Linked DNA regions of Schizosaccharomyces pombe. The gene in region 4 interacts genetically with the main gene of each other region. Each region holds a gene or a part of one and is shown on either strand. Other genes may lie near its edges. The genes, in order: tim18, mms19, fin1 and spf1.

Evidence for each region.
Region 1: mutations in spf1 (region 4) and tim18 together harm fitness less than expected from each alone (positive genetic interaction), as found in Schizosaccharomyces pombe (2 studies listed by BioGRID).
Region 2: mutations in spf1 (region 4) and mms19 together harm fitness more than expected from each alone (negative genetic interaction), as found in Schizosaccharomyces pombe (2 studies listed by BioGRID).
Region 3: mutations in spf1 (region 4) and fin1 impair growth when combined (synthetic growth defect), as found in Schizosaccharomyces pombe (2 studies listed by BioGRID, with this or other methods).

Annotation. Positions count from the first base shown.
Region 1 is NC_003423.3:2,034,204-2,037,102, reverse strand, and holds tim18 (TIM22 inner membrane protein import complex and succinate dehydrogenase (SDH) anchor subunit Tim18), read right to left. Parts: upstream 1,044-2,899; 5' UTR 1,004-1,043; coding exon 524-1,003; downstream 1-523. Other genes in the region: SPOM_SPBC29A3.21 (uncharacterized protein), read right to left, coding at 1-11; MPP complex beta subunit Qcr1, read left to right, coding at 2,260-2,899. UniProt on the Schizosaccharomyces pombe protein: Membrane-anchoring subunit of succinate dehydrogenase (SDH) that is involved in complex II of the mitochondrial electron transport chain and is responsible for transferring electrons from succinate to ubiquinone (coenzyme Q).
Region 2 is NC_003424.3:3,856,360-3,862,377, reverse strand, and holds mms19 (TFIIH regulator Mms19 ), read right to left. Parts: upstream 4,161-6,018; 5' UTR 3,956-4,160; coding exon 3,487-3,955; exon of another isoform or gene 3,444-3,486; coding exon 3,301-3,443; exon of another isoform or gene 3,255-3,300; coding exon 3,151-3,254; exon of another isoform or gene 3,106-3,150; coding exon 814-3,105; exon of another isoform or gene 748-813; coding exon 699-747; 3' UTR 660-698; downstream 1-659. Other genes in the region: protein Sil1, read left to right, coding at 1-659. UniProt on the Schizosaccharomyces pombe protein: Key component of the cytosolic iron-sulfur protein assembly (CIA) machinery that mediates the incorporation of iron-sulfur cluster into apoproteins specifically involved in DNA metabolism and genomic integrity.
Region 3 is NC_003424.3:1,352,433-1,357,742, forward strand, and holds fin1 (NIMA-like serine/threonine protein kinase Fin1), read left to right. Parts: upstream 1-1,788; 5' UTR 1,789-1,927; coding exon 1,928-1,987; intron 1,988-2,255; coding exon 2,256-2,279; intron 2,280-2,325; coding exon 2,326-4,410; 3' UTR 4,411-4,752; downstream 4,753-5,310. Other genes in the region: nucleoporin Nup40, read right to left, coding at 1-804, 992-1,227. UniProt on the Schizosaccharomyces pombe protein: Promotes chromosome condensation and nuclear envelope dynamics during mitosis. Activity appears at metaphase-anaphase transition.
Region 4 is NC_003421.2:363,224-367,500, reverse strand, and holds spf1 (Set1C PHD finger subunit Spf1), read left to right. Parts: upstream 1-2,018; 5' UTR 2,019-2,022; coding exon 2,023-3,297; 3' UTR 3,298-3,741; downstream 3,742-4,277. Other genes in the region: vsl1 (SNARE protein Vam7), read left to right, coding at 512-547, 584-1,573; SPOM_SPCC594.04C (steroid oxidoreductase superfamily protein), read left to right, coding at 3,768-4,277. UniProt on the Schizosaccharomyces pombe protein: The Set1 complex specifically methylates 'Lys-4' of histone H3.

The DNA.
Region 1 (2,899 bases), on a different chromosome or scaffold from region 4:
TAACGCAACATTCGATAAATGAGATTAAAACGGTAAACGTTAGAGCATGTCTTCTAATACCTTATCAAAGAATAAGGGAACGAAGCGTACATGGGTAAATTGTTGACCCATTCTAAACGATAAATAATAAATGGGACACCCAATAAAATAATTCAATGGATTTTGTCTTGGAAGAATTATTAATTCAAGTCGACATAAGGACCTTAACAAGAGCTGCCACAAACTTGAATAGTCTTCTAACCACTCCCACTAGAAAAATTATCGTTGAAGGTAAACATAAACATACTGTGCAAGCGCTAAACAGATTTACACAGATAAATTGAGAGGATCAATCAAGCCAGAAATCAAGAAAAGAGCAAAGATCAACTGCAGAATATCAATTGGCAGTTTTGGGGTTTGAACTGGTAAGTTTCAAGCCCAAAACTTACTAGATGACGGATTAAGGAGAATAAAAAAGAAAAAGGAAAGGAATAATCATTATGAAAAAATAAGTGGGGTTATATGGGTTTGCATGGAAAGAAGCTTAAGATTTCCAAAGCTTTTTAATACCCTCCGTAAGGCCAATATCATTCGTGTTGAACTCATAGACGCCAATAAGTGTAAGAACAGTACATCCACGTAAGATCCAGTGCATCAAAGGAGATAACTTCTTAAATCTTCTTGCAGGGAAGTAGTCAATCACACAAGATTCAAACCCCAAGTGGGCATGCGTAATCAAGGTGCAAGCCAATGCAGCGTCCATTAAGGGATGAGAAGTTCCGGTGAACAAAGGGATCATGACTTGAGGAACCATGGCAATAGCAATAATTCTTTCAAAGTCCCAATGATAGCTTCCGTGGAGCTTACTGTGGTGAGGGAAAACAGCAGCATCATTAACAGTTCCCTTAATGGTCTGAGGGGGAGGAGGGAAAATTTTCGCAACACTGGTTGTGCTAAAAGATTTAACTGCAAAAAGAAGACGTCCTTGACGAAGTGCTCCAAGTCCTAAACGTGTTTGTAACATATTGTTTGTAAACCAAGAAAAGCTGGTGGTGGTAGTAGGTGAGTTCGTATTGGCGGATCTTGTGTCCACATTATTGGCCATTCAACAGCTCGATGTGTTGAGCTTGGAGTGGCCGGAAATAGGCGATGAGAACCTAAATCTATCTACTCATAAACGAAAAATTGTATAACATAGAGTAAAGACTAGAAATTTAAATAGATATAATAGATTAATAAGTTTATTCAGAAGAATCTCCGGTCTTTAAGGTCGTTTCAAAACCTGGTTATTACTTTTTATAATAATATTATTCACTGCTGAAAACGAATTACCTTCTACATATAATATTACATGGGTTTTGTGGTGAGTTTGAATATCTATTATAATATTACACAGTACCAAAAGTTACTGCAGTTTCAAAAAAAATTTTACGGAAAGCACTACATTGTGAAAAAACAATAATCTACTGTAAATCTTTTTACTTAATAATATAATATAGATAAAGCTATAGAAATTTACTTGTAGCAATTATGCTAATATAAAGGTGCTGCATTGGCTTAAAAAAAGGTTAGAGAAACGGTTTTAAGAGGATGAAAATTTTATTTAAATTAATATCATTTATATAAAAAACTATTCTCATAAAAAGAAACCATCAAGCTACTCAATAGTCGATGTATAACAATGCTTGATTCGGTGCTAGTCAAAATTCTATAGTTGGACTGTTATTTTTTTAAAAATGTATTAACCGAAATATTGTAATGGAAATCATGGAAAAGAGAATTTCGTTAAGTATAAATAACCTTTTAATGTAGATGAATACGAACTTAACCTGATGAAGTGTCTTACCCTGTCTGATTCAATGTCATATAGATTCTTTTCAATATACCGATGAAACAATATATCCCCTACATAGTTTTTTACCAATGAGATTCTCCATGTTAAGTAGAGATATATTATATCATGAACTGGATTGTACGGTCATTCGTTTCCTTCCTTTATAGCAAATTGCGCACAGGGCAAAGACTAGGCAATCCGAAAGTTTCTGTTTGAATGGTCAACTTCTTATTTTTCTCTACATGGAAATTCTAGTAAGGGATTCAAGGATTGCTAGTTTTCTTTTTTTATTAAATGGGATCAATTGGTCATTTGCCGAAATTCGAACTTGGGACCTCGATAACACGTATTACGCTACACCTCTACGGAATACCTTCTTGCTACCTACTTACCCTTTACCATCCACAGAATCCCACCCAACCAAAGGAGCTTGAATTGATATTACTATGCTGAGGCTTCAGAATTTGCCAAAGCTAGTACGTCGTTTTGCGACTACTGCTTTACCAAAAACAGAAACCACTACTTTAAAAAATGGGCTTACAGTTGCTACGGAACATCATCCGTATGCCCAAACAGCGACCGTCCTTGTGGGCGTTGATGCTGGCTCAAGAGCTGAGACGGCAAAAAATAATGGCGCTGCTCACTTTTTGGAACATTTGGCGTTCAAAGGAACGAAAAATCGCTCCCAAAAAGCATTGGAATTGGAATTTGAAAATACTGGTGCACATTTGAACGCATACACCTCTCGTGAACAAACCGTTTATTATGCACATGCGTTCAAAAACGCTGTACCTAATGCAGTTGCCGTTTTGGCCGATATCCTGACAAATTCAAGCATTTCTGCCTCGGCGGTTGAGCGTGAACGCCAAGTCATCTTAAGAGAGCAAGAAGAGGTTGACAAAATGGCCGATGAAGTAGTCTTTGATCATTTACATGCTACCGCTTATCAGGGTCATCCTCTTGGACGTACAATTTTGGGTCCTAAGGAAAACATCGAATCTCTTACCCGTGAGGACCTTCTCCAGTATATTAAGGACAACTACCGTAGTGATAGAATGATTATCTCTTCTGCCGGTTCGATATCTC
Region 2 (6,018 bases), on a different chromosome or scaffold from region 4:
GTTCAATGTCGTCTGTTGTTTTGGCATCAGCGCTTAGCAATAATTTCATAGCTCAGAAAAAGGCTTTAGAAATGAATATTATGCCAAAAATTGTGAACACTTTACGGCAGGAAAACCACCCAGTTACATTACTGAAGAAACTTTTCCTATTAAGTAAATCTGTCCAATCTTTTCCTTTATCTGAGGCTTTCATTAGTAAAGATTTAGGATCGGCTATTCTTCTTCAGTTGTATGATTTTTGGTCGAGAAACAGCCATATTGATATTCCTTCTGCTTTTCAGGAGAAACTGCTAAGTAGGTTGTCCATCATCTTTGAAAATATTGCTCGTTCGTTGGAAAATGTCAATTTTAGCAAAGCTTCTAAAGTTATCCCAATAGAGTGGGTATTTTCGACTTGGTGTAGCATCTTTCAAAAGTACTTGATGAATAATTGGCATTTACGCTCAATTTCAACGCTCGAGGTTCTACTTAACACCGTATCAACAATTCAAAGTGTTAGTGAGAGTTGTCCCGAAGTTAACTTTTATGAATGGTTAAACGATAAAAATTTGGCGTACAAAAATAAATTAATTTATCAAGATCCAGATCTTGCTACTGAATTTAATTTAATTATAAAAGAAGCTTTATCTCTTCCTTGGCCTAAAAAATACAATATTTAACGTTTTTATTTTTCAAAAATGACTTATCAAAATCTCTCTTTATATATACCACTTATGACGAGTTCGACTTGCTTCAGTCCTTACAACCCTATATTATTCATTAGCATTTTGTAGTTAACAGTTATTCTTTTCACTAAAAATGAATGGTTCTTACCTTTTAGGATCATCCAAGCATGGTATGAGTCCACGAATTACTTTATCTCTAAATAGTTGTAAATTCGTGGTAGGAGTAAACTCTGGCAGACTTCCAAGACACTTAAGGGCTAAAAGACGAACAACAGTTGGATTATTCATATCCTTAGGGATTGCCAAAAGCGAAGGAATTAAAGTATCAAGATATTCCGTCAATAATGAAGTCAATTCTTTAACCGAAGTATGTATAACGTTCAACGTCGAAAGTTTAACACTAATATCAGACAGTGAAAGACATTGAAGTAGAAGTGGAAGGATAGATGGCATATCTGGAATTACAATTTCTTTTGGCACATTTCCTATCACATTAGAAAGAAGCATTAAATACAAAGACTTTTCTCCTCCAGTAGCAGTTGAAATGTGTTCTAAAATCTTAGGACTAACACTAGCGTAAAAACGTTGTTTGTATAACAGCTTTTCGACATATGAATTCTCCTTGGACAACGCAGGATCGTCTTTGATAATTATTGAAAGTGCCTTGACCGAAGAATCTCCGACATTTTGTAAATTCAAAGTATCCAATAATTTAAAAGCCAAAGGAATGCCCTCGCTATGCTTTCTAGAGACCAAAGCTTTGTCAACCCACGCCAGCACATCGAGTGCAGCTTCAGATTCCTTTGGAGTTCCAGTATAAACTTTATCCCACAAAGACGTGACTCCCTTCGAAGATATAAAACTTGATATATCTTCGTCTTTTTCACATTTGTTAATAAGCGAGGATATGAGACGTAAAGCGCTAATTTTAACGCCAGGACTTTCCGTAACAAAAACAACATTTATGAGTAAATTCAACAACTCAATATTCAACTTTTCGATAAAATGTAATTTTTTACTCAATCCATTAAGACCACCCTGTAATAATACCACTAAATTTAAAAATTTCTGATCACTTAAAGATGCTGCAAGCGTAAATCTTTCTGCAGCTTTTTCACAACCTTCAGTTTCAATTAAGTCGGAATTGGAATTCTCCATATATAATTTCCATAATTGACCAACAAACTTTTCTTGAAATTCAAAATGGTTTACTCTCACTATCTCATTTATTGTCTGTGATACATAAATAAGGCATCTCACATTCATTGACTCGCAATTAGCGAAACAAAGGGTAAAAAGTTGCTTCAGTAGTTCTTCAAAAAAGAATGGAATCTCTTGTTCATTTCGATCATTTCTTTCCTTAAAGGCAACGGATAAACTTTGAACAATTGATTCGACAAGATCAACACTCATTTCCTTGGATTTAAATTGATCTTTCAACATCTCAACAAGTCTGATGACAAGGGCCTTAAACAAACTCCTTTCTTCAGATATTGAGACTAGTACCGATAAATATTGCTTAAAAGTTTCTTCAGAAGATGACTTAGCAGTAACATCATCAGTTAATTTTGAAAATGCGAAAGGAAATGAAGTCAAAAGTAAAAAGTCGGGCTTTAGTAACCCTAAATCCTTCAAACATTCTGTTGCCTTTTTCTTAATAGGATCGGAAAAGTCAAATGCTATGTCATCCAAAAATTGAAGTACCATGGTTAATTCACTCTCTGTTAGGAAGTTCTTGATCGAAGCCATTAAAAAAATAACCTTTAAAGCCAACATGCGTATTTCAGTTTCATCTTTGGCTGTTCCCATCAAGGAGCCTGATACAAAACTAAGTTGCTTGTCTTTGTAAACAAGTAGCGGGTTGTCAATATCAGCCTGGTTTTTGCTTCTCCACTTTCCGTATAAAAGTACCAAACATTTATAGACGTATTCCAAAAAAACTAGCATCCCTTTTTGTTTCTCCAATGGTTCATTTACCATTGGTAGATCGAGAACACTGGGTAAAAAATTGCATGAACAATAATTGAATGTTTCCACAGAGATAGAAGCCAAGGAAGCAAATACAGCTGCACAAGATCCGCAAGATTTAACATTAACATCTTCGAGTAAACGCTGTGATAATTGGATCAAAATCATATCCACAAACTCTGTGAACGAAGATGAAAACCCTTCCTCTTTATAAAATTTACTAGCTAAAGTATTGAGTGCACCAAGCGCCAAATTTTGAAGTTCAGCATCTGTCGAATTTAGTATTTCTTGCTTAATAGATTCCCAAAAGTCTTTAGCAGACCATAAATAAGCACCCACGCGCCAAGTTTTGCAAGCTTCTATATAAATGTTTAATGCATCGATTTTTATGCGAACAGTTGAAGCCTTCAGCCTTTCAAATAAAGCAGGAAGAAGTAATTTTGAAAACGCGTCGTTAGCAACCAAGGTTTCTCTACAAAGGACGGTTAGCAATAGTTCACATGTCATGATGCCTTACCGGAGAGCTATTTTAAGATCGTCGCTAGTAATAGCCAAATTGGTGGCATCAGGCGGAGCACGGAAAGTGATCGGGAAATAACAATAAGTGATATCAAAGAATTGCTACATGTAAGTAATTTCATTAGGCGATTAACAATGAGATCCATACCTGTTCAAATCCGTCAATGGGGAATGTAGAAAGTATTTTTTTAAGCATAGAAAAGACCAGCATAAGATTACGAGGGTCTTTCTCACCAGCAAAAGTTGAACAAATTCCAGAGAAGAAAGCATCGCGAGTTTGTGAAGAGATGACTGAGAACTAAGTTAATTGATGACTCTCCAAAAAGATCCTTACAGAAAAGATAATTATCTATAATGGTTTCAAATACTTTTAAAATGTTTAAACGAGTTGCTTGAGCATATTTTGGCATGTCAGTGGAACTGAAGAGAGCCTTACAAACATCCACAATCTTTTGAGCAGGGAAGTTTTGCATGTTTAGAAGAGCTCCAATACCTAACGCATTCTCCTTCATTGTAACTTCATCATCCAAACGACTCAAGTAAAACTGAAGAAGTACAGATACATGTTTCGCAGGAAGTCTATCTTTAGGAAGCTCACCTAAAGTTTGTGACAGTAATAAAACTGCTTTTGCTCTAACAGAGATATTGTTGTCAGTTAAATACTCTCCAATTGAAGTAACCAAATCGACAATCCCCATTCTGTCAGTGACAATTTCTTCGACAATTCGATCTACAACGTCGTTTGCCTCATCCTGACTTCTATCAATAGAAAATAAATATAAAGCCACTAAATTCGAGCTCATCTTCCTCAAATTTAATATGTACTATTATGCTAACAATTTTCTATACAATAAACACTATAAGAAAAAACAGAATTTCAAAAATTGAGAAGCAGAGATTAGAAACCTTGTCCTCTTTTTCGAAGCTGACTTTCTTCTAGCTAGTAGGTAGACGGCACTCTTCCTCAGTAGATCGTTGAAACGTCTCTCAGAAAATGTGGTTAACAATGGCAAATTGCAAAATGTCATTTGCTATGTATGCTTTCTTTACCGAAGCGAAGTTAAACTAATTAAAGTATTTAGATAATCTGATAAGAATTTGTGTAAATTAAATTGCTTAAATCCATGAATTAAAGAAATTAGAAGAAAGATCGGATATTATTTTCTTTTTTTAAAAATTTGTTTCTTTTTAGCAAATCTCTACTTCAAGATTTTACAATCATACACAAAAACCTTTATTCCATCGTTATATATAGTCACTACATATTAACGATCCTTAAACCACTGCGCTATGTATTCCCTCTCTTACCAAAATTTGAACCGACAGCAAAGTAAAAAGAGGATGCAAAGTTTTAACATTTACTTGAGAAATTGATCAATAAGCATATAAGTATTTAATATAATTATCATCTTAAATTCTCTGTTAGTCCTGGTATGGAAGTTTCGGAGACAGACGAACATCTTACTCGTTTAAACCAGGCTCGAGATATTGTTAAAACTGATCAAAGCCTTTTTCCAGAAATCGTGAGAAACATTCTTTCTGTGGCAAACTATTCTGATATAAGGTATAAAAAATGGATGGCAAATTTCCTCTGGTTTGGATTTTCGAGCAAAAATGTTAAATTTGAGCAGAAATTGGATTTAGCTGTAACTTGTCTAGATACAATTGTTTCTCTGTACGCAGTAGATAATGAAGAAGTTAAAAAAGACGTTATATCTTGTTCTTGCACAATCTACCCACTAGTATTTCTGCACTGTTGTACTTCACCTAACGATTCATCTACCTGGGACACTTTAACGAAGCTAAAAAACGAAATCATTAATGACTTTGACAAAGGGAACAAGCCTCTTTTAATTTCTTGTATTAAATTTATTTCTTGTGTAATTTTAACGCAAGTGCCTGGGATTCGAGATCCCCGTCTTGTAACTAAATCGGACGTGTCTCTTTCTAAGGTTCCCACACATCATCCTTTTATCAATTCAAATATCCTCAGAATAGAAGCAAATGACTTAATTGAAAAAATATTTTCCATCCTTTTCTCGGATTCTTTGAATGTCCTTTACATTACTAGCGTTTTGAATATCTTACCGGTTTTGGTGAAGCGACGGAAGGAACTAGCACCAAAAATCATAGGAAGCTTGTTAGAATTTCATCTTCCGAATCCAAAAGATGAAATTGAGCTGTCGAACGAAAGCAAGTTAGCTATACGGTGTATTGAAAAAAATCTAAAACTTATTTTACTTCATTTAGCTAAGAGTACAGGTGCATCTTCTTCTTCCGTCGAAAAAATTCACGCTTATCTTTCCGGACAAATTTATCATACCAAAGTCGATGAAAGTTTGAAGAAACGGCAATATGAGGGAAATATTAGTGCTGCCTCTAAGCGTGTTAAGTCTTCTGCTGTACAAAGTCTTGTAGAAAGAATGCAACCCCAACTTAGCTCTCACGATGGTTTGCAAAATAATCCCTTAATCAGCATATTTGCTTCACAAACTGCTATAAATCCTCTTGCAAATTTTGATGTAACTTCAATTCCGGTTGAAGTGGCTACTGAAATTGTACTTACTTCTCTTCTTAAGATAGACAAAAACTACTTTCATCAGCAAATTAATATGTTGAGAGAGAGAGTGCGCTCTCTCTCTGAGCCTGAATCCCTTGGTCTTGATCAACAAGTTGATGAAGACGAGGACGAGGATTATGAACCGCCTGAGGTAGATGTTCAGACTATCAATGCTAGTGTAGAACGTGAAGCAGCTCGACTAGAGGGAAGTGCTCCCTCCAATGTCGTTACTGATGCGTTTGAATTACCCACTCCAGATTCGCTGTCCCCGATGGCTATTCTAGAATACTTTCACGGTGCCTTATC
Region 3 (5,310 bases), on a different chromosome or scaffold from region 4:
GAAGCAGTTTTAGATTTTTCTTCCTCATCTATTGGCTCAGTTGAACCAAAACCAAATAAATAATGAAATAACCAATTACGAGGTTGATGTTTCTGAGAAGATTTAAAAATATCATTTTTGTGTTGAACAATGACTTTTTTACCAAGACCAGATTGGGATTGGAAATGGGCATCAGCATGCACGGGAATAGACATTGAGGTTTCGGAGGAAGAGGCATCCGTCATTTCCAAGTCTTTATTGCTGTTTCTTAACGTTTTCGGAACATGCTCCTTCGCTTCTGCGGGGCTGTATATACATCCAACCATAAAAGAGTCATTTATCAACATTCCGTTAGACAAAACTGCTTTGGCAGCAGAAGAAGGCTCAGCATATGTTAATTGTAGCCAGTTACCAGATATGGGACCCTTGGAGGGAGTGAATCCGGCACTTGAAGCAGTTAATGAATTCTCGCTAATAATAGTTCCAAAACGAGAAAATTCAGCTATTACTTGATTTGTCAATTCTGGTGGGAAACCGAAAACGATAACGGAGGTATTTGAATCTTGAGGAGCGCCAGACATGGTAAAAGAAGGGTCGTATACCTTTTCAGAGACAGGAGAAAAAGGGGAAGAACTTTGTCCAACATTGAGAGCATTAATTTGCCTAGAGGAAGAAAAGTCATAAATGGATTGAGTAGGAGGAGCATCTTCAATTAAAGATCCGGTACCTAAACGATTTGTATGCAAAAACGGTTTCGGTGTACCAAAGCTGGGTCCGCCGAATTTTGAAGAAGGGGGACTCGAGAGAGATAAACGGAAGGAAGAGCTATTTAGAGAAAATTAGTAAAGGTTCTAAGAGTTTATGTCTAATATTTAAAAATTCATAGGGATTAGGCTGAAGCTCTAACAAATTTGGATATAGATAGATATTAGGTAAAAAAGCAATTATACTAAACAATTTTTTAATCCTCCGTCTTCAAATGTCCCTTAAACTCTTCAAAGAAATTACTTACGATGACTCATATGGTTCTGCTAAAGGCGAGCTAACCTCTGGGGCAAATCGACGCTGCTGACTTGATCCAAAGTGTGAAAGATGACTGGGAACAAATTTTTTTTCTTGTGGAATGTTAGAAACAGATGTTCGAAATCCACGATATTCTTTTTGAGGAGAGGGCGAACGTAAATCATCGACAGAAAGTGGCTTTAAGGTTGATCGATTCGTGATAGAACCACTTCCCCCAAAAGACATGTTTCCGGCAATATTACTAGAGTCTTGTGATAGACTGTTGTGTAACATATGTTTTGCAACGTATATAAATTAGCGGTAAGTTCATTTGAAGGAGATGGCTTGCATGGAATGAATCATGAAGCCTAGCGTAGATCACTAAAACCAATTAACGCAAAATAACAGTTTATTGTTAATGCTATTGATTTTTATAAAACATGCAGATAAATCTTTTGAAAGCCTCAAACTAATATTAATACGTTTAGCTATTCATTTTTTTAAAACTTGATTTAAAGGACTCTGTTAAATTCCAAGCTCATTTACAACAAACCTTATACAATCATGTCATAAAAGGCATTATAGATGATAAAAATTCTCCACAACTTTTTCTCATTGCTTATTGAATAGCGTATCTTTTTCTTACAGAAATTAAAATGCGACTGGATATATATTATAATCGTAGCAATAAGCACCTGAAGTAACAGTGTTACTCCTAACCATGGCAACATTGTTTACACTTGATGATTTAACGAGACACTGCAGAAGAACCAAACATAAACATCTTGGCTTGAAATTCATATACTTAGCACTCAATCACTCCAAGCAGTATTTTTTATATTATTAATTGATAGAAGAATTTTTCTTTTTCTTTAAAGGTCCTACCGAGAAATTTAGTTTTATTTTAAGCTTACCTGAATCTCATGGGCTACTTCTGTTCTGAAGTATGGAAAAATACAAGATTCTTGAGTGTATTGGACATGGGAGTTTTGGAAGGATTTATAAAGTAAGTTTTAATCTTATTTTCACTGAAATTGGTTATTGGATAGCAAAATTCTTTCTTGTTTTCAGTTTATTTGCGAGCAACTACTTGTGGTTGGCAAATGAATCTATAGCATTGAATCAATTGTTTTCTTAAGAAACAGGGAAACTATATTGATTTAAATGCTTTTCGCTATTGTTTGTACTCTATTCAAAACAGTTTTTCAAATTGAAACTTTGATCGATATTTTTTTTTGCAACTCCTTTTTTATGCATTATGCTAACTATTATAGGTTCAACGCTTAAAGGATGGTGCTGTAAGTTTGAAAGCAATTTATTTTTATAGTTATTAATACTTTTTAGCTTTTGGCTCAGAAGGAAATACACTTTGGTAACATTACTCGGCAGGAAAAGCAGTACATCGCAGATGAAGTGAATATTCTTCGTAATCTTAAGCATCCAAATATTGTTCAATACTGCGGAGAAGAATTGAATCGTTCTGCGCAGGTAATAAACCTTTATATGGAATATTGTGGTCATGGTGATTTAGCCAATCTTATTCAACGTTATAAAGAAGAGAAAAAGAGATTTACCGAGCAAGAGGTTCTCAAATTTTTTACGCAATTACTACTTGCTCTGTATCGCTGCCATTATGGAGAAAATGCGCCTGCTTGTGACTCACAGTGGCCAAGAGAAATTTTTCATCCTAAACAATCTGTATTGCATCGAGATATCAAACCTGCGAATATATTTCTTGATGAAAATAATTCAGTTAAGTTAGGAGACTTTGGTTTATCCAAATTGCTGGACAATACGCGTGTCTTCACACAGAGTTACGTGGGAACTCCATACTATATGTCTCCTGAAATAATTCGGAGCAGCCCTTACAGTGCGAAGTCTGATGTTTGGGCTCTTGGCTGTGTTATTTTTGAGATCTGCATGCTTACGCATCCCTTTGAAGGAAGGTCGTATTTGGAATTGCAACGTAATATTTGCCAGGGTAATCTCTCCTGTTGGGATCATCATTACAGCGACGATGTTTTCCTTCTAATCAGGCATTGCTTAGAAGTTAATTCAGACCTCAGACCTACTACTTACCAGCTACTTCGCTCTCCTATTTTATCCGATATTCGTAGTAAATTGGAATCCGAGAGAGTAGTCTTGGAACAAAGCGATTTGCTTCATAAAAAACATCAGATGCTTATTCAATTGGAAAATGATCTCCAATTTCGCGAGCAAAGGCTTTCTGCTCGGGAAAGTGAACTCGAAAACGTTATAGCTTCTCGCTTAGCCCAACGTGAAGAGATATTGCGACGTGAGTTGGAAAAGCAACTGCGTGACATGGATGCTCGTTATCAAAGACACATGCAAACCGTAGTAAACTCTATGCAGAAAATGCGTGTTACAAGTCCTGTGGATCATAATGAACAACCTGAAAGCAGTACCGCTGAGATGTTTGTAGATTGTACAATTGAAGCATCACAATCCCCCCTACTTCATATTCCTAAGTTAGGAATTAGCAAGCCCTTGCAAACGTTATCGTGTCCGGGTTTCACTCTAACTACACAACAACCGATATTGAAAAGACCTACTCTCCGTAAAGAATTATCAAGCAGAGCCTTACATACGACTGCAACATTAATGAAATACAGAGCTAATGCGTCATCTCTAAGGACTACACCTATTGATAAAGATGGCCAAATTACATCGTTACAGCAAAAAAACGGCACGTCGAATCAAGTGGCGGATTGCATGAACAAGTTGCTGCACACATCTTTGGACGGAAAGAAGCTAAGCCCTTCTGAATTGTGTAATAAATTTTCAGACGGTGAAGGTTTACCAAATCGAAAAGTTAGCAAACTTAGCGTAGAGAGCGATGAAACGGCAGTGAGTGCTTCAAGTGGTGAATCCGTCCCGACTGATTCAACGTTGACTGATACGAAGTCAAAGTCTGTTTTTGTCCACCCACCTTCTCCGCAGAGTCTTTATGTGGAGAAACTCGAAAAGTTGAATATTCGTTCGGACGAAGTGTCGAAACCTTCGAAAGCTTCAAAAACCTTACATGGCTATGCTTTACCATCACTAGCGTCACCTTATGATGTTCATGCTGAAGAGAAGATAGCAAGAGAAAATGAAATGGATGGCAATTTTAAGACGATGAAGATCAATCAACACCCCGACGAGTATGTGTTACGGACTCCGAAAAAGATACAACTGTTGGAAGGACAAAAGCGGTCGCCTGTAAAACAGCTGGGAAGACTTGGTTACAACAAGCTTCGACGATCAGCGATGGACAATGCAGGATTGGAACTACGAAAGGCGGCATCTACTTCGAACTATACTAGCTTACAGTCTCGAACACTACCCGGGTCTTGGAGAGATGATGAAGAAGAAATTCCAAGACCCTTTCTACGAAAAATGCTTGACGCCCGAATGATGAGGGCTTAAGTAAAGTTCCCTAAGGTGCATTTAATTGTACGAGAATTATATTAGCACAAATGCGTACTAAAAAAAAAATACAGCAAAAAATAAAGGCCCAAATGTAAATGAAATTATTGAAATGCGTACCGTGTTGAACTTCCCCTAATTATAAGGATTGGTTTTCTATTTATTCAAAGAAATGAAACACTGCTGGTCAGCGTTTATCACGAAGTTTATTACTAATAAAGGAATACAAACACGATATTTGCATCTACAAGTTCTCGAATATGAGATGCTAGTAAATTGAGCCTTTTAACAGTACACATTTAGATGATTAGGAAATTTTGAATAACAATATTTTTCCCCAAATTCGAATGAGCCGTATTGTAAATGGAATTTAATTTTATAATTTTTGAAATAATATTACACAGAAACAAAAATTCATGGATGTAGTAATTAGAGAGAACCAAAGAATTAGCTAAAACTACGAAACGCCAGCCTTGACAAGAGAGACTGTTTTTTTTTTGGTGTAAGGATAAGTTGCGTAGATAATAAATGGAGATATACGTAAATTCGTATATGAGTAGATATCTGGTATCTGGAGAGATGACTTATCAAAAAGAAGCCGATTATGGAAGCGGCATCAAAAATAGTCTAGAAAGAAAACAAAGTGGAAGTAATAGAAGTAAAAAAAATTTTTACAATTTCGGGTGGCAGAAAAAAGGATATTAATGGTATACGAAGTGACACAAATAGGATTCCAAATGAGGGATGAATCAATTAACCACTTGACGGATTGATAATAGCAATGATGAAAATAGCAGAATATAGTACAAACTAGTAATTGACAAACACATATAAATACTTAGTTGTAATGTAGAAGTATGAAAGTTAGTCATTCATTGTTATTTCATTTTATTTACATAC
Region 4 (4,277 bases):
TATTCTGTGCTTTTAATACTTTAGGCAAGTCGCGCTTGCAACCAATCCATGTAGGAAAATATAGAAAATAAACAATTTCTGTTTATTACTAAGCTTCGTTAAGATTTTGCCGTTCTTCTGTTTAGGTATTGTAATTACTTGTAAGTTGCACCGTTCACGAGTGCCAAAAAAAATACTCAATAATCTGACTATAAAGTGTTTAAAGGTATAAGATAATATACTAACCTAATTCATTATTTTAATTTCTAAATCTATTGCAAACTGGTAAACTTTCTTTCAATACCTGCCAATTCGATAATCGTAAAGGCATCTCGCGCATCAAGGAAAACATGAGGTTTAAAGGATCTAAAGCATCATGAAACTGAAATTTATCTTTATTCAACTAATAGAACCTATACTATTTGAAAGCTCAAATTCTACATTATACAGTTTTATAACGATAGTGCAGTAAATCCGATACAGTAGTCTGTTGTTCATGAACTCATTGTTGATCAACCTGTTCATAGCAAGTATGGCGCTAAAAATTAAAATACCAGAAACGTCTCAAGTAAGCTTTATTCCTTTAATTTTTACTTACAACTAGTCTTCTGATGAATATTCACGATGGACGGTTTACCATATTGAAGTAGCATTTCCGAATGGTGGGAAACATGTTGTATTTCGTCGGTTCAATGAATTCGTTGCTTTGGATGCTCAAATTCGGCCAAATGACTACAACAGTAGACTTTGCAAACTCCCCTCTAAATCTTGGGTTTCTTCAACTGTGACAAATGAAAAGTTACGTGAATCTCGACGACTTGCTTTACAAGCTTACGTTCAATGCCTTTCAGAAACGCCATGGATAAAAATGCCTGTGGTTAAAAAATTTCTAAATATTAAAGATGAATCGGAAGATGAAACACAGGGTCAGTTTTTGGGTCCGACAGATTGGATTCAAGTATTTCAAGATTGTAAACGTAATTTACATATGTACCGAGTTGACTTAATGAGTGGAAAAAGCATTACGATAGGAGTTCAAACAAAGAATGTCTATGCAATAAAGTCGCTAATGGATAACCTTTCAGAATCGTTAGACAAATTAGAATTAGCAAATGCTCTTGGTCCAGGAGAAATCCTTCGACGAAAAGATATGTTAGAACAGCTTGGTTCTGAATTCTTGTCATTTAAACGGTTAGTTAAAAATGCAAACAGCCCAGTCGCTCCTCCTTCTGCCTCATCTCAATTAAACTCTTCTAATCCTAGTTCTCCCTTTCGCCCATTATCTGCATCTACTGACAAACAATCTAATACCTCTTTGAACAGAGTCCTTGGAAAAAACAGAATGCCAGAGACACAGACAACAAAAAAGCTTGATAATGTAGGACTGTACAACATGCAGAATCAAACTATGGAAGATCAAGATATGCAAGCAGAATCGTTATTGCCTATTATTCAAAGGCAGAAGGAGCTTTCGAAAATGATTAATCAAGAAGTTGTCGAGCAAAACTCCATGTTAGACGAGCTTTCTAATGAAGCATATGCAAACCAAAAAAAGCTACACAGAACACGAGCTGGCCTTCGCAAATTGGGTTAATATTTGGGTGTTTATGAGTATTTGATTTAATTTCACGAAATTTAATGGAATCTTCTTTTGCAGTTTTGTCTTGTTTTCTATCCAATTCTGCTACATTAGTGATTGTCTTGGATGAGATTATCTGGGCTAAAAATATTTATTATTTGGTGTATTTGCGTTCTTTCCTTTTTTTTTTTTTTTGTTTAATCTTCTTGAAGATACCGCAGTAACCTCTGTGAGTTATATAGGCATGGTTAGTTCGTCCGTCAAGGTTGAAATAATTGTCTCCTTTAATTAAGCTTGATATTAATATACGACTTGTTTAAATTTCAACTTGTTTTGACAGACCCCATTTCTTTTGTATTTTGGTTTGGCTTGTAGTTCCTTTTAATGCATTTAGTGTACTGTGCTTAAGCTCGCTTTCTTTAGATTTTACTTATTGACAGACTTAGACAACTGAAATTCCAATAATGGAATTAACGCAAGAGAATACTGAGGAAAATGAAAAAACTCATGTAGAATCAATTGTAAAATTTGAGGATTCGAATAGAGGCACCATTACTGATTTTCATATCGAGACAGCTAACAATGAGGAAGAGAAAGACGCCAACGTAATTCTCAATAAATCTGTTAAAATGGAGGTTGAAGAAGTCAACGGTCACGTTGATTCTTCCTCAACGGAAACAGACATAGAAATGCAAGTCATTCAACAGCCTACAATACCCAAAAAACCACCCGTATCAGCTCATAGAAGGGGTCCACGAAAACACCGAGGAAATGCGAATAGCCAACTCAATCTGTCTACAGCCGATCATCAAAGACCATTGTATTGTATATGCCAAAAGCCTGATGATGGATCATGGATGTTAGGATGTGATGGTTGCGAAGATTGGTTTCATGGCACTTGCGTTAATATACCTGAATCTTATAATGATTTAACTGTACAGTACTTTTGTCCTAAATGCACAGAAGAAGGAAAGGGTATAACTACTTGGAAAAGAAAATGCCGGTTACGAGAATGCTCGAATCCCACAAGACCTAATTCCAACTATTGTAGTGATAAACATGGAGTCGATTTTTTTCGAGAAAAAGTAAAGCTGAGTACGGTTGAACCTTCTGCTATAAAAAATCTTGTATTGTTTGCAAAAAAAAGGGAAGAATTTCAAAATTTGGGTACGGTGGGACCGACATTGCCAAGCCAAGTTCCTCCTGAAGTTGTGTACAATTTTGAAATTGAGGAGGCCAATAGGCTGAACGCAGAAATTGTGCAATTAAATAAAGAGAAAGAAGTAGCATCTAACAAAAAAATATTTCTTCAGTTGATCAAAGATTCTTCGCGGAGAGCGGTTCTTGCTTACAAAGAAAGAGAAGGTATTAAGAAAGATCTGTGTGGATTCGATTCTCGACTTTTATTCAATCAACAACAAATGAATGAATTGTGGGAAAAAGTTTCAAATGGAGCACCGCTATCTCTTGACATGAGTATAGATCCTTCTCCTGAGTCCACCTGCTTTACAGAGAAGCGAAGATGTGCAAAGCACACAAGCTGGCAGGTAATTTTTACCGAAGATTTTGAGTTGCAAGAAAGTAATATTTTACAAAAACTAAACATGAAGCAAACTGCCAAAGATGTAATGTTGGAGCATCAAAAACAGAGGTGCCTACCCGGGATACAATACGACGGTTATGCTCGATTTTGTCATGAACAGTTATCTCCCGAAAAAATGGCTAATTTATTAAAATAAACAGAAGGATGCATCTTTTGGTTTAATTTACAATTTTGAAGTTTGCTTTAATTTCTAGATCATTTCATGTAAATCACGAGGCATTGATTCGCAAATGTTAATGAAAGAAAAGTTTATATTGCTTGGCATTTGTCTCTTAATTTTGGCTTTAAATTTATTGACTCCCTGTTTCGCAAAATAATGTTGACAGATGGTAATTTGGTTTTTCCTTCTAAAAAGTCACTTTTTAACATAAGGACATACATTCTACACCCTCTCTTTTTATCAACTCATGTCTTAATGGCCTTGAGGTTTTCTCTCTCTTTTGTTTTGAAATTTATTTTATTTTATTTTTTGGAAAACGCAGGCTCCTTGGATTTCACTAATCCTTCTTATTCCAGAAGCTAACGTCACAATGAGACAGAGGATTTCGTGGAGCTATAGAAAGCCAACTTTCTGACATTCCCATTGTTCTTTTTCAAACGAGCACTATGACTTTGGCATCCACCATGCCAATTATTTATTCGGCATCTGATGCCGCAAAATGGAAAGTTGCAGTATCTCCTTACCTGTATCAACTGAGCAATTTGAAGTTACTGTTTACTGGAAAGTTGAATTTTGCAGATTTTTATTATAATACGAATCCATTTGTTGTAGGACTACTTCTCTCATTTATTTTGGGAAATGTGCTTTGGGGAGTGTCTGTTTGGACGAAAAATACATCGCAAGTGGATCGGCTATGGCCAATTCTGCCAACGGCTTTTTCCTTGCATTTTCTGTTTTATGGTTTGGGATACAACATTGCTTCGCGAAGATTAATGATTATGGCATTTTTGCAGACTCTATGGTCCGCGCGTCTTACTTACAATTATTACCGTAAAGGAGGTTATAATCGAGGAGCAGAGGACTATCGTTGGGTGAGAGTTCGCCAAATCATGCCTAAATGGATATATCCATTATTCCACTATTTTTACATTCATATCTTTCAAGTGCTCCACCTA